Saccharomyces cerevisiae S288C: one gene and its partner. Changing the gene in region 1 together with any one later gene gives a genetic interaction. Each region holds a gene or a part of one and is shown on either strand. Other genes may lie near its edges.

What was found.
Region 2: mutations in SIP1 (region 1) and SAP155 together harm fitness more than expected from each alone (negative genetic interaction), as found in Saccharomyces cerevisiae (2 studies listed by BioGRID).

Annotation. Positions count from the first base shown.
Region 1 is NC_001136.10:1,314,761-1,319,352, forward strand, and holds SIP1 (Sip1p), read right to left. Parts: upstream 3,014-4,592; coding exon 566-3,013; downstream 1-565. Other genes in the region: ARO80 (Aro80p), read left to right, coding at 1-132; CAD1 (Cad1p), read right to left, coding at 3,286-4,515. UniProt on the Saccharomyces cerevisiae protein: Beta subunit of the SNF1 kinase complex, which is required for transcriptional, metabolic, and developmental adaptations in response to glucose limitation.
Region 2 is NC_001138.5:232,669-237,750, reverse strand, and holds SAP155 (Sap155p), read right to left. Parts: upstream 3,510-5,082; coding exon 501-3,509; downstream 1-500. Other genes in the region: ERJ5 (Erj5p), read left to right, coding at 1-383; OSW7 (Osw7p), read left to right, coding at 4,207-5,082. UniProt on the Saccharomyces cerevisiae protein: Positive regulator of protein phosphatase SIT4. Involved in directing expression of TOR-repressed genes and in dephosphorylation of NPR1 in response to nutrient starvation. Negatively modulates K(+) efflux of the cell by the Na(+)-K(+)/H(+) antiporter NHA1.

The DNA.
Region 1 (4,592 bases):
CTTATTGAGCAACGATATATGCAATGTGGAGATGGTGATAATAATAATTTCGAAAATTTATACAACTTGTTCGTGAATAGTAATAACATCAATAATGATATTAATAACTCAAGGCCAATAACGCGTAAATAAGTAGATATCAAAGAATTACGTCATCAACCAAGACAACCGCACTATTCGTAAAAATGATTTTAAATACAAAGACAGAATAACAGGGGAAGATGGAGGTATATAATAATGCGAATGCTTCATAATACTATGACTGGTTTTCCATTGGGCATATGAGATGATTTTACGGCTCAATCACTACTTATATATGATTTCTATAACAAAGCAGGCCATTACACATTAGGAACGGCTATCTATTACATAAGAATATGCAGCAAATTCGTTGGATATGTTAAAGTATATTCCACGCATGCTGAGAAGTGGATTGCCAGAAACGTGACGTGAAATACCTACTAGAACAAAAAAAAAAGGAATGCAAACGTTCTAGGAGCCATAGGAATCAAAAAGAAAAAAATTGAATTAATAGAGTTCGTGAGAATCATTGCGAATTGAGATTCTAATTACTGATCTGAGACTTTTGTGTTTTATAATAACAAGGTGCATAAACTACTTGAGTGATAAATTTCCCCTCATATCTAGTAGTGCAAGCTACGCTGATTATTTCATCTCTAATACTGCTTGTCAGTAAATGGTTCAAATTCACGTGGGGTATAATATGATTTATCGCACCTTCATCCCTCTCATGTGATTCTGAATTCTGATTGCTTTGGTTTAGTATTCTGTTCAGATAGGATGAATTCAGGTATATGGGCAAGTCAGGAACTGGGTATCTACTTAGAAAAACCGCCTCTGCTGTTTCTGCATCAATATTACCGCCTTGCTGTAAAGTAGCAAATAAATCATCTTGATTACAGTCAACAACTCTATGTGTAAAGCTGGGAGGTTCTTGGGGATGCACGTCATCAGAATCTCCTTTTACAGAAATCGTAGAGCCGTCACCTATATTAAATAAATTTGGTATTTCGTTCGAATACACCAACCTCTCAGGCTTGACCTCGGCCATCAAATCCAAACTGCTAGCCTTCAGACGTACAAATGAGTCACGCATATTTATTGAACTGGACCTACTTAAGCCTCTATAATCTGAAAACGGTGTACTTGGCCTTTCAACACCCTTAGCAGAATAGTAGGAAGATTTTCGAGAGGAAGAAGGAAATCTTTTAAGTTCCGGTCTCTTGGGCAATTCTTCATCCAGTGTTGGCTCTACTTGCGAGTCGATGTCTGCTTCGTTTCTAAATGGCTCGATCGTATGATAACCGGGCAATACTTCAAACCAGTTGACAAAATTGCCTTCTGAATCCGTAGCTGTAGGAAGAAAATTTGAGTGAGTCAATATACCATTGATGGAGAATTGCAGTCTATAAATTCCTGCAGGCAAAAAAAGATCTGGAACAAACCATTCCTTATGCACATCATCATAAACCATGCGGATCCTAGGATTTAACTGTTTTTCTGAGTCTAAACTTGCATTCTCATCCAAGGTAAGCTCTCTTTGCTCTTTAAGAGCAGAAGCAATATCCGTGCTTACTATAAAGACTTCCGTGGTTGCAGCCACGGTACCATCGTCTTTCCATTTTAGAACAACTAAAGTATTTTCGGTGGAGTTTGTTGATGATATTGAAGACATACTCGACATGGAATTAGAGTGATGCGATATTTCTCTATGCTGCGGTGCAGAGTATTGACTTTCATTGTCGTTAATAATTGGATGTAGTGGATGCAAAGGCTGCAAATTCAAACCGTTTGTTAAGATACTCTTTCTTGATTGTAAAGAATGCAAAGAAGCAAATGAGGATCTTCTCGAATTTGAAACCGACCTTATTTTTTTATTCTGGGCTTTCTTTGTCTTATTATGGTGCTTATTTAAATCTCTTTCCATCAAGGTCTTATCACCGTACAGTTTCATCATCATTTTTGCAGTAGCAGATATAGGTGCGGTAAAATCGTCGTTGGAGCCTCCCGCGTTTCCCTTGTTACGGGTGTTATTTTCAATATTTCCATTGTTATTAGCGTGGCTTATCCTTTCTGCAGTATACATTGAATTAGAGGAATTCACCCTTGAAAGACGTTGCATATCCTTTTTTAAAGCATTTTGTAAAAGAGACTGGTTCAAAACCATATCTTCACTTTGAAGTACGCCTGCTTCTGCATCTACACTATCACTGTTTCCCTCTTTATCCATTTGAGAGTTCTCAGAAAATGTTTCGTCGTTATTGAGATATTGATATTGGTATGCATGGATAGATGGTTTCTTTGAATAGGGTTGTCTTACAGGAATATCAATGGAATCCGTCTTGGTCAAGGCGGGAAGTGATGCTGAATGCACCGATGAAGACCTCGTTGGAGAAGGGGAAGCAGTAGCTGAACTTTCTAAAAGATTTTTTTTCAAAGCTATGATGCTTGAGCGATGCCTTTCATGGTGTGGTTTGTCGTTTCTTTCATTTTCTGTTGTTTCGTCAACCATGGTGTAATTCAAAGTAGACAGATCATCCAGATCACTTTTAGTTCGTTTGACAGTGGCCATTGATGGACCTGGGCTCAAAAACGACGGAGATTTCACCTGCTCTTCGGGTGCACCCACATCGTGATCATCACTTAAAGTCAAATTGGCCAACGTAGTGTCATTTACGTCTGCGGCAGAGGACAAAGAATAATCCTTTTTGAATAGATGGGACGGGCCCTTATCGATAGTAGTATCACTGCTCATGCGCCCATCACAATCTGTCGATGGATCGTGAGATGCAAGTAATTGCATTCTAGGGGGAATGGCACCATTATGTTCGCTAGTATGACTGGCGCGTCTCTTATGAGTACTCTTCCTATTGTTAAACAGTTGAGAGGTTATGCTTCCCTGACGATCTTTATTGAATGCATCATGAAAATGATGTCCATGCTCCTTTTTGGTTGAATGCGATGGATCCTGAGTAGAAGGACTGTTTCCCATGGCGGCTGCAACAACTATATAATATGACAGTTCAACTTTCCAAGATGTCAGTCCACACGCAAAAAAAGAAGTGCAAATGAAAGAAACACTAGGTAAGACACCTTGTTTATGTAGGTATCCACTTGTATCGGATATATCTACCATTGTTAATTGTCAATAGTATTCCATCAGAGACAATGGTAAAAAGACAAAAAAGGTATAATCATCGTACAAAGCGATCAATATTACATGCTCTCATCCAACATTATGTATACTCAAGATATGTTTATATGCTACAGGAGCTGTCTAACCAGAGCACTCTGTAAGTCGCGAGCTTTGACTACTATTTTGCAGTCATCTGTACATTTTGCCTTGATTATTAATTCGCTGCATAAATCATCTATGTCCAACGATGAATATTTTGGTAGGGAGGAGATCTCTTCGAGAATGTGGTAGCAAGACGCTTTTCCATTCGATATGGCGCTGCTAATGTGTTCAATTGCTTCAGATTGGGTTCGAATTGTTTTAGTATGAGAAGCAGCCACCGGAAGCACCGAAGCTAGAGATTTCTGATTCAACAGGTGGCTTGTTATTAAGTCGCATTTGATCTCCTTATTTGAACATGGTTTGGTCCCGATACACTTGCGGTTGCAAATATTATTACACTGGCTCCCTACAGCAAGGGGAAGCACGCTGGGGAATAAAGTATCATCTTCTGTCTCGTATGGAAGATACTTTTGGTCAATTTCACATTGACATGCTGACGTATCTATTTTTTCAGCGGTCAGGCGTTCAGAGTGCTGAGGAAAGTAGTTATGAATGTCGTAATCTAAAGCTTCTAGACCAGTCTGTCTATCATTGGAGACAAGATCGAGACTGAAATCTGGCATTTCACTACCATTAATACTTTCGTCACCGATGGTAACGGCACCTGTTCGATTTCCGGGGGGAGAATCCCACGAATTGGTTAAACTGGGAGCGTTCCATGAGCCTATGTTCCACATAACTTTCTCATTCTCTTGAGTGTGCGGCTGTACTTCTATACTTGTGTTCACAGTCATGTTTTCATCTGAATTAGGCGATGGCAATTCCTTTGCAGCCTTGCTAACTGCTGTACTTGTTCCTTTTTCGTTTTCCCTTTTCTGTTGTTCTTGCAGATCATCGAGGAAGGCTAATATTCTTTCATCATCAGAATTCTTAGCTCTATATTTTGTAATTTCCGACAGTAAACTTTTTAAAGAACATAGTAAAAAGTCCGTGGTAGTCTTATTCTGCGCATCTTTCTGTTCTAGTAACTCTACCCTCTCTTGCAAACTCTTCATTTTGGCTTCTTTCCTATCTCGGAACGCTCGTTGAGCTGCCCTATTCTGGGCAGTCCTCCTACTCTTAGCTTCAGAGTCAATCCTTTTTCTGCCTGGTCTGCCCACCTTCCTCTTAGGTGTTCCATCTTTATTTAGCAACATTTGCTTCTTCATGTCACCTGCTAAATATATTTGCTGACCTTTCCGAAGGATATTGCCCATTTATCTTAACTGGTCGTTCCATTGCTTATATGTCGTCCTTAAAAGTAACACCCCATTCGTATGAAAGTATAATAGTA
Region 2 (5,082 bases), on another chromosome or scaffold:
AACAACAGGATGATACCAATGGACTAGGCGTAAAACAACTAACGTTTAAACAACATGAAAAGGATGAGGGTAAAAGTTTGGTTGTAAGGTTTAGCGATGTCTATGTTGTAGAGCCTGATGGAAGTGAAACACTAATTTCGCCAGATACCTTGGATAAACCTTCAGTAAAGAACTGTTTGTTTTGGAGAATACCTGCTTCGGTTTGGAACATGACGTTTGGCAAATCTGTTGGTAGCGCAGGAAAAGAAGAAATAATAACGGATAGTAAAAAGTATGATGGTAACCAAACAAAAAAGGGGAACAAAGTAAAAAAGGGTTCTGCAAAGAAAGGCCAAAAGAAAATGGAATTGCCTAACGGTAAAGTGATCTATTCACGTAAATGATACGTAAGAAGTAATATTATCATGATGAATGAATGAATGAATAGAAAACTACATGGTACTTATACATATAAATTAATATATATATATACAAATTAAAGAAAAGTACAAAACAATGTATCATTCATGATCATAATCATTATCATTATCAGCATCTTCATTATAATTACGAGTATTATCATTGTCATTATCATTATTATCGTTATTATCGTTGTTATTACTATTATTACTATTATGGTTGGTATTGTTAATGTTACTATTACTGTTCTTGTCCTCCGGCGGCCCCAGTATGAAAACCCCATTTTCCGTGTTCTTATTATCAACGTCTTCTTGAGCCCTATTGATTAACATTTCCCTTAACTTGTTGTGTAAATCAGATTCTGTAGATAAGGACAACTGTTCTTCTAGAGACTCAACATTGATTAATTGGCCGCCACCACTTGTTCCATTACTACTCCCGGTATCTGAATCAAGGATTTCATTATTATTACTTGCATCACCATTTGGAGTTAATACAGTAGTATTGTCAGGCAGCTGCGGAATGATGTTACCATTTCCATCATCAATATAACTTCCACCGCCAAGAATTTTAGAGTACATCATTCTTGTTTCGTTTAAGACTTCTTCGGAGTAGTATTGCCATTCTTCGGTTTGTAAAATTACTTGAATATCGGGAGATATTAGTTCCACTTTGTACAATTTAGAAAATTTGACCACTTCTTCGGCAATCAAGACAATATGGCCCATATATCCCAAATTCATTTTCCTTAGCTCATAAAATTTATATGAATCCTGGTAGCCCCTTAATATGAAGTCTGTAGTTATTTTGAAATCAAAATTTGGGTCTCTAATAACGGGAGAAAATCGGGAAACATCCGTTCCTTTTTCATCTGATATGACGATATCAGTCATAAATTGATAGGAGCTCTTTAAGTTAAACAGAGACAAAACAAGGAAGGAATTATAGGAAAAATCCATTCTTCCATTGAAGATTTGCTGAATTATGTCGAATATAACATTATGCCAAAAATTGTTCCAAGGATGTGTTAAGAATAGTTCCATTATTTTGGAAACAATTCGCGTATCATATAGTTTGATTTTGAATAGGTCCCCGACCGTGGGGTCGGTCCTAAGTTTTATGTTTTGCTTCATATTGATGTATGGAATTTCGAAGCTCTCGTCTATTTCGTCGCCATAGTCACTTTCATCATCATTATCATTATTGTCGTTATCTATTTTACCGTTGTTATTTTTTAGGTCGTGATCAGTGTCACGTGTTGGAGAGTGCTTCGTTTTAAGTTGCTCCTTTTCTTCGATACTCAGATCGTTTAATGCATCTTGTAAATGATGGGATAACTGGCTCCTTACTTTATCTCTTCTTCTGGCTATTCTTTCTGCCCTTTTGGAATTCATTAATCCCATATTAGAGCAATGCAGTAACTCGGCGATTAATTCCACCACTTTGAATCTTTCAAATCCTAAAGGTTTAAATTTTTCGTGCAACTGATTTTCATGTAATGGGATGTTGGCGTCATTTTCAATATCTAGAATGATTTGGAAAAAATCGGACAAATGGTTTGAAAATTTCCGAAGTAGATAGCCTAAATATATTGGATCTCTATTTGAAGGTGGATGAGTCTTTATAGTAGTGGTTAAAAGATTAACTTGATCGTAGTCTGAATTGTTTTTCCTTATCAGCTCAATGACAATCGAAACTGTGGTATTTAATGCGGCACCTCTTTGGTTGATCATGATATCGACTAGCTTTGCAATGGATTCGGGAGATGCTAGCTGTCTCGTCAAGGAGTTTGGACCAATGGAAATATCATCCAAGGGTGCATTAGCAGAAATGGCAATCAGAGCCTTTAAGAAATCACCCACGCATGCTTGGATGTCAGCTGGGGACTCTTTGTTATTTAGAAAGCTTAAGCATTTGCTGATCAAGTTTTGATCATATACTAATTCAATTATTCCCGTGGGTGATTCAATCTTATCTGTGGATATTATTTTCAAGAAAAAATCCATCAATAGGGAAATATCAACATGCTTTAACATATCATCAACAAAGCTTCTCTCCGTTCGAATAAAATTTAAATATTGATCCTGCCTGGTTAACAACAGATTTTGGTTAATCTTTAAGAATATGGGTACCAAGGGAGAGTTTTCAGAATTGAAATTTGGCTGGTTGATGATAGACCAAATCTTGTTTAAGTATGATTGGTTTTTAACTAATGACTCGCTAATCAACCATATGTCTAAGGAAAAGATTTCAGATATTATGGTGGCCTTTGTCAAATAAGCAGATTCATCGTCCTCATTCGCATCGTCGTCGTCGTCATTGTTGTTGATATCATCGTTACCAAACGAGGAGCTTCCGCGTTTTCGTCTCTTCTTGTTATTGCTGTTATTATCGTCCTCTTTCTCCTCTTCTTGCTCCGTATCAGATTCCACATAAACGTCCTCTTGTGAGCTATCATCAAGCTGTTGCTGTTCTTGATAATCTATCAGGTTATTCAAATCCACTGTGGTGGCGGTTTTAATCTTCGAGATACATTCCATCAGTTGGTCGACCAGATATTCCATATTATTCACTTTCTTATTAGTTTTCTTATCAAAGAAAAATCCAAAGCAAATGAAGTCAAGTAGCGTCTTGTTTTGTCTCGATAATTCGTTCAGTAGCTCTGTCTCTACAAGCATTCTTTCAATAAAAGAGTTATCCAAATTCTTTGTGGTGACCATCATGGGAGCAGTAGCATTGCTGATATCCTCCTCATCTAAATCAGTTTTAGAAGTTGACCCAGAAGAAAAAGATGTAGTGGAAGATTCGCTAGAGTTCATGCTCCGTTCCTCTTCCTCTTTCTCATACCGTTCTTGCTGATCATCCTTCTCAAATCGACTCTTCTGATCTCCACGTGCCGTTTTCACTTCATCACCATGACTATACTCCTCCGGAATAGAATCTAGGGAGTCACTTGTACCTCGTTCCTGAACGTTGTTGAAAATAGCGGGAATGGCTTTACCAACGCTTGGGTTAATCCTTTCCAGTTCGTGTAGCACATGAAAATATTCATCTAGGATCTTATTAATATTAGAGTGATTAAGATTCTGTCCAAATGGCCAAAACGACATCTTTACTCTGGCTTGTTGTTTTCGTCTTTTTTTTCTTTTCTTTTGTAAAAACTGCTGCTCCAAAAATCAATAGAATGGGAACGGCAGAGACTATAGTCTAGGGAAGTAACGCTTGTGTCTTAATCGTGTTGAAATAAAATCAAAATGAAATAAAATCAAAATAATAAAAAAAGAGGAGGAAAAAAGGGGATAGTCACTCAAACCCACTATCTAGCTTTAGTCTCTCAGTCTTTTAACCGCTACTTGGAGAAAAAATACTGAATCCAATGGTCAAATAAGGCCTTTCTTCTAGTTGCTTTGGAGCGTATGATACCACGATACTGTTGGTTTTGGTTCTAATTGGCCACTTAAAATTATTTTTCTTTCTTTTTTTCTAGAGGAAGGGATAACCCTACTAAGACCTATTCTATAATTACCAGCCCTATAGTTGTCTTTCATTTTTTAGATAAATGCCCTCTTTAAAAATTAAATTAACCCTACTCATTTTGTTGTCATTTCGGCCCTTTTAAGCCACAATACAGGTATCATTTAACAGGAATTACATAATAGTACTTTAGAAGAGACTTGTATGGCATCGAGGCTTCCTTTTTGACTATTGGAAGATAGCATTTTTTTGGGTGTTGCTACTATCATATTTCTGTTACTGATTGACCTTTTCTTAACTAAGAAAAAGGTGGTTAGTTCTTTACTAAAAATCATGAAGGCCGTTTTCAAAGTAACGACTGCTTTGCTGGCTTGCGTGTTTATTGCAAGGTATCTGGTCTGTCAGCAAAATGGTCTGGGAAGCTTTGCCACAGATTTACAGCCCATTTGCCGGCATACTGAATTTTCAGTTGGCTCACTATTCGATTCTAAATTGGTTGAAGGTTCAGCGGTTTCTGACTATTTAGTTGGAAAGTACTCACAATCGATAAAACCACTGATTGAAAGATACCCCAACTCATCCTTGAAGAGAATTATGGGATATTTTTACCGCTTTTGGTACAATATTTTCTCTTTTCTAAGGCTAAATGAGCTCTGCTGTTCGCTACATTCCAAGTTGGGACCTTTATTAAATCATCTAAGGATTGCCTGGTACTATTTAAAGCCATATACAGACAATGTGAAGAATGTACTAGAGAATCCATTTAACTCCTCTACGGATTGGATGAAATACGGCTCCTTTAGCGCTGATGGCACGCTCACCAAACCCATTTTTGAGACAGACTCGGAAACAGAGGATTATGAGGATGATGAGAATGAAAATGAGGATGAGGATGAAGATGAGGATGAGGATGATGTCGGAATTGAGGATGAAAATAAAGAATACGAGTTCGATGGAGTACAGGATGGCCACGGGAACTCACAACTCGTCACTGCTGCTATTTTGCAGGATTTGTCAAAGATTATCATTGGTTCCAATAGCCATGCAGAATTGGAAACTTACGAGGCAGAATCATTAAAAATGGAATATGAAGCATGGATTAAGGCTATAGATTCGAAAATACACAGTGCGATGGCACTTTTGGATTCAGAGATACAGTCTGTGTTCGAGGCCGAGGTGCAAAATAAATCTATAGAAATCACTAGGAAT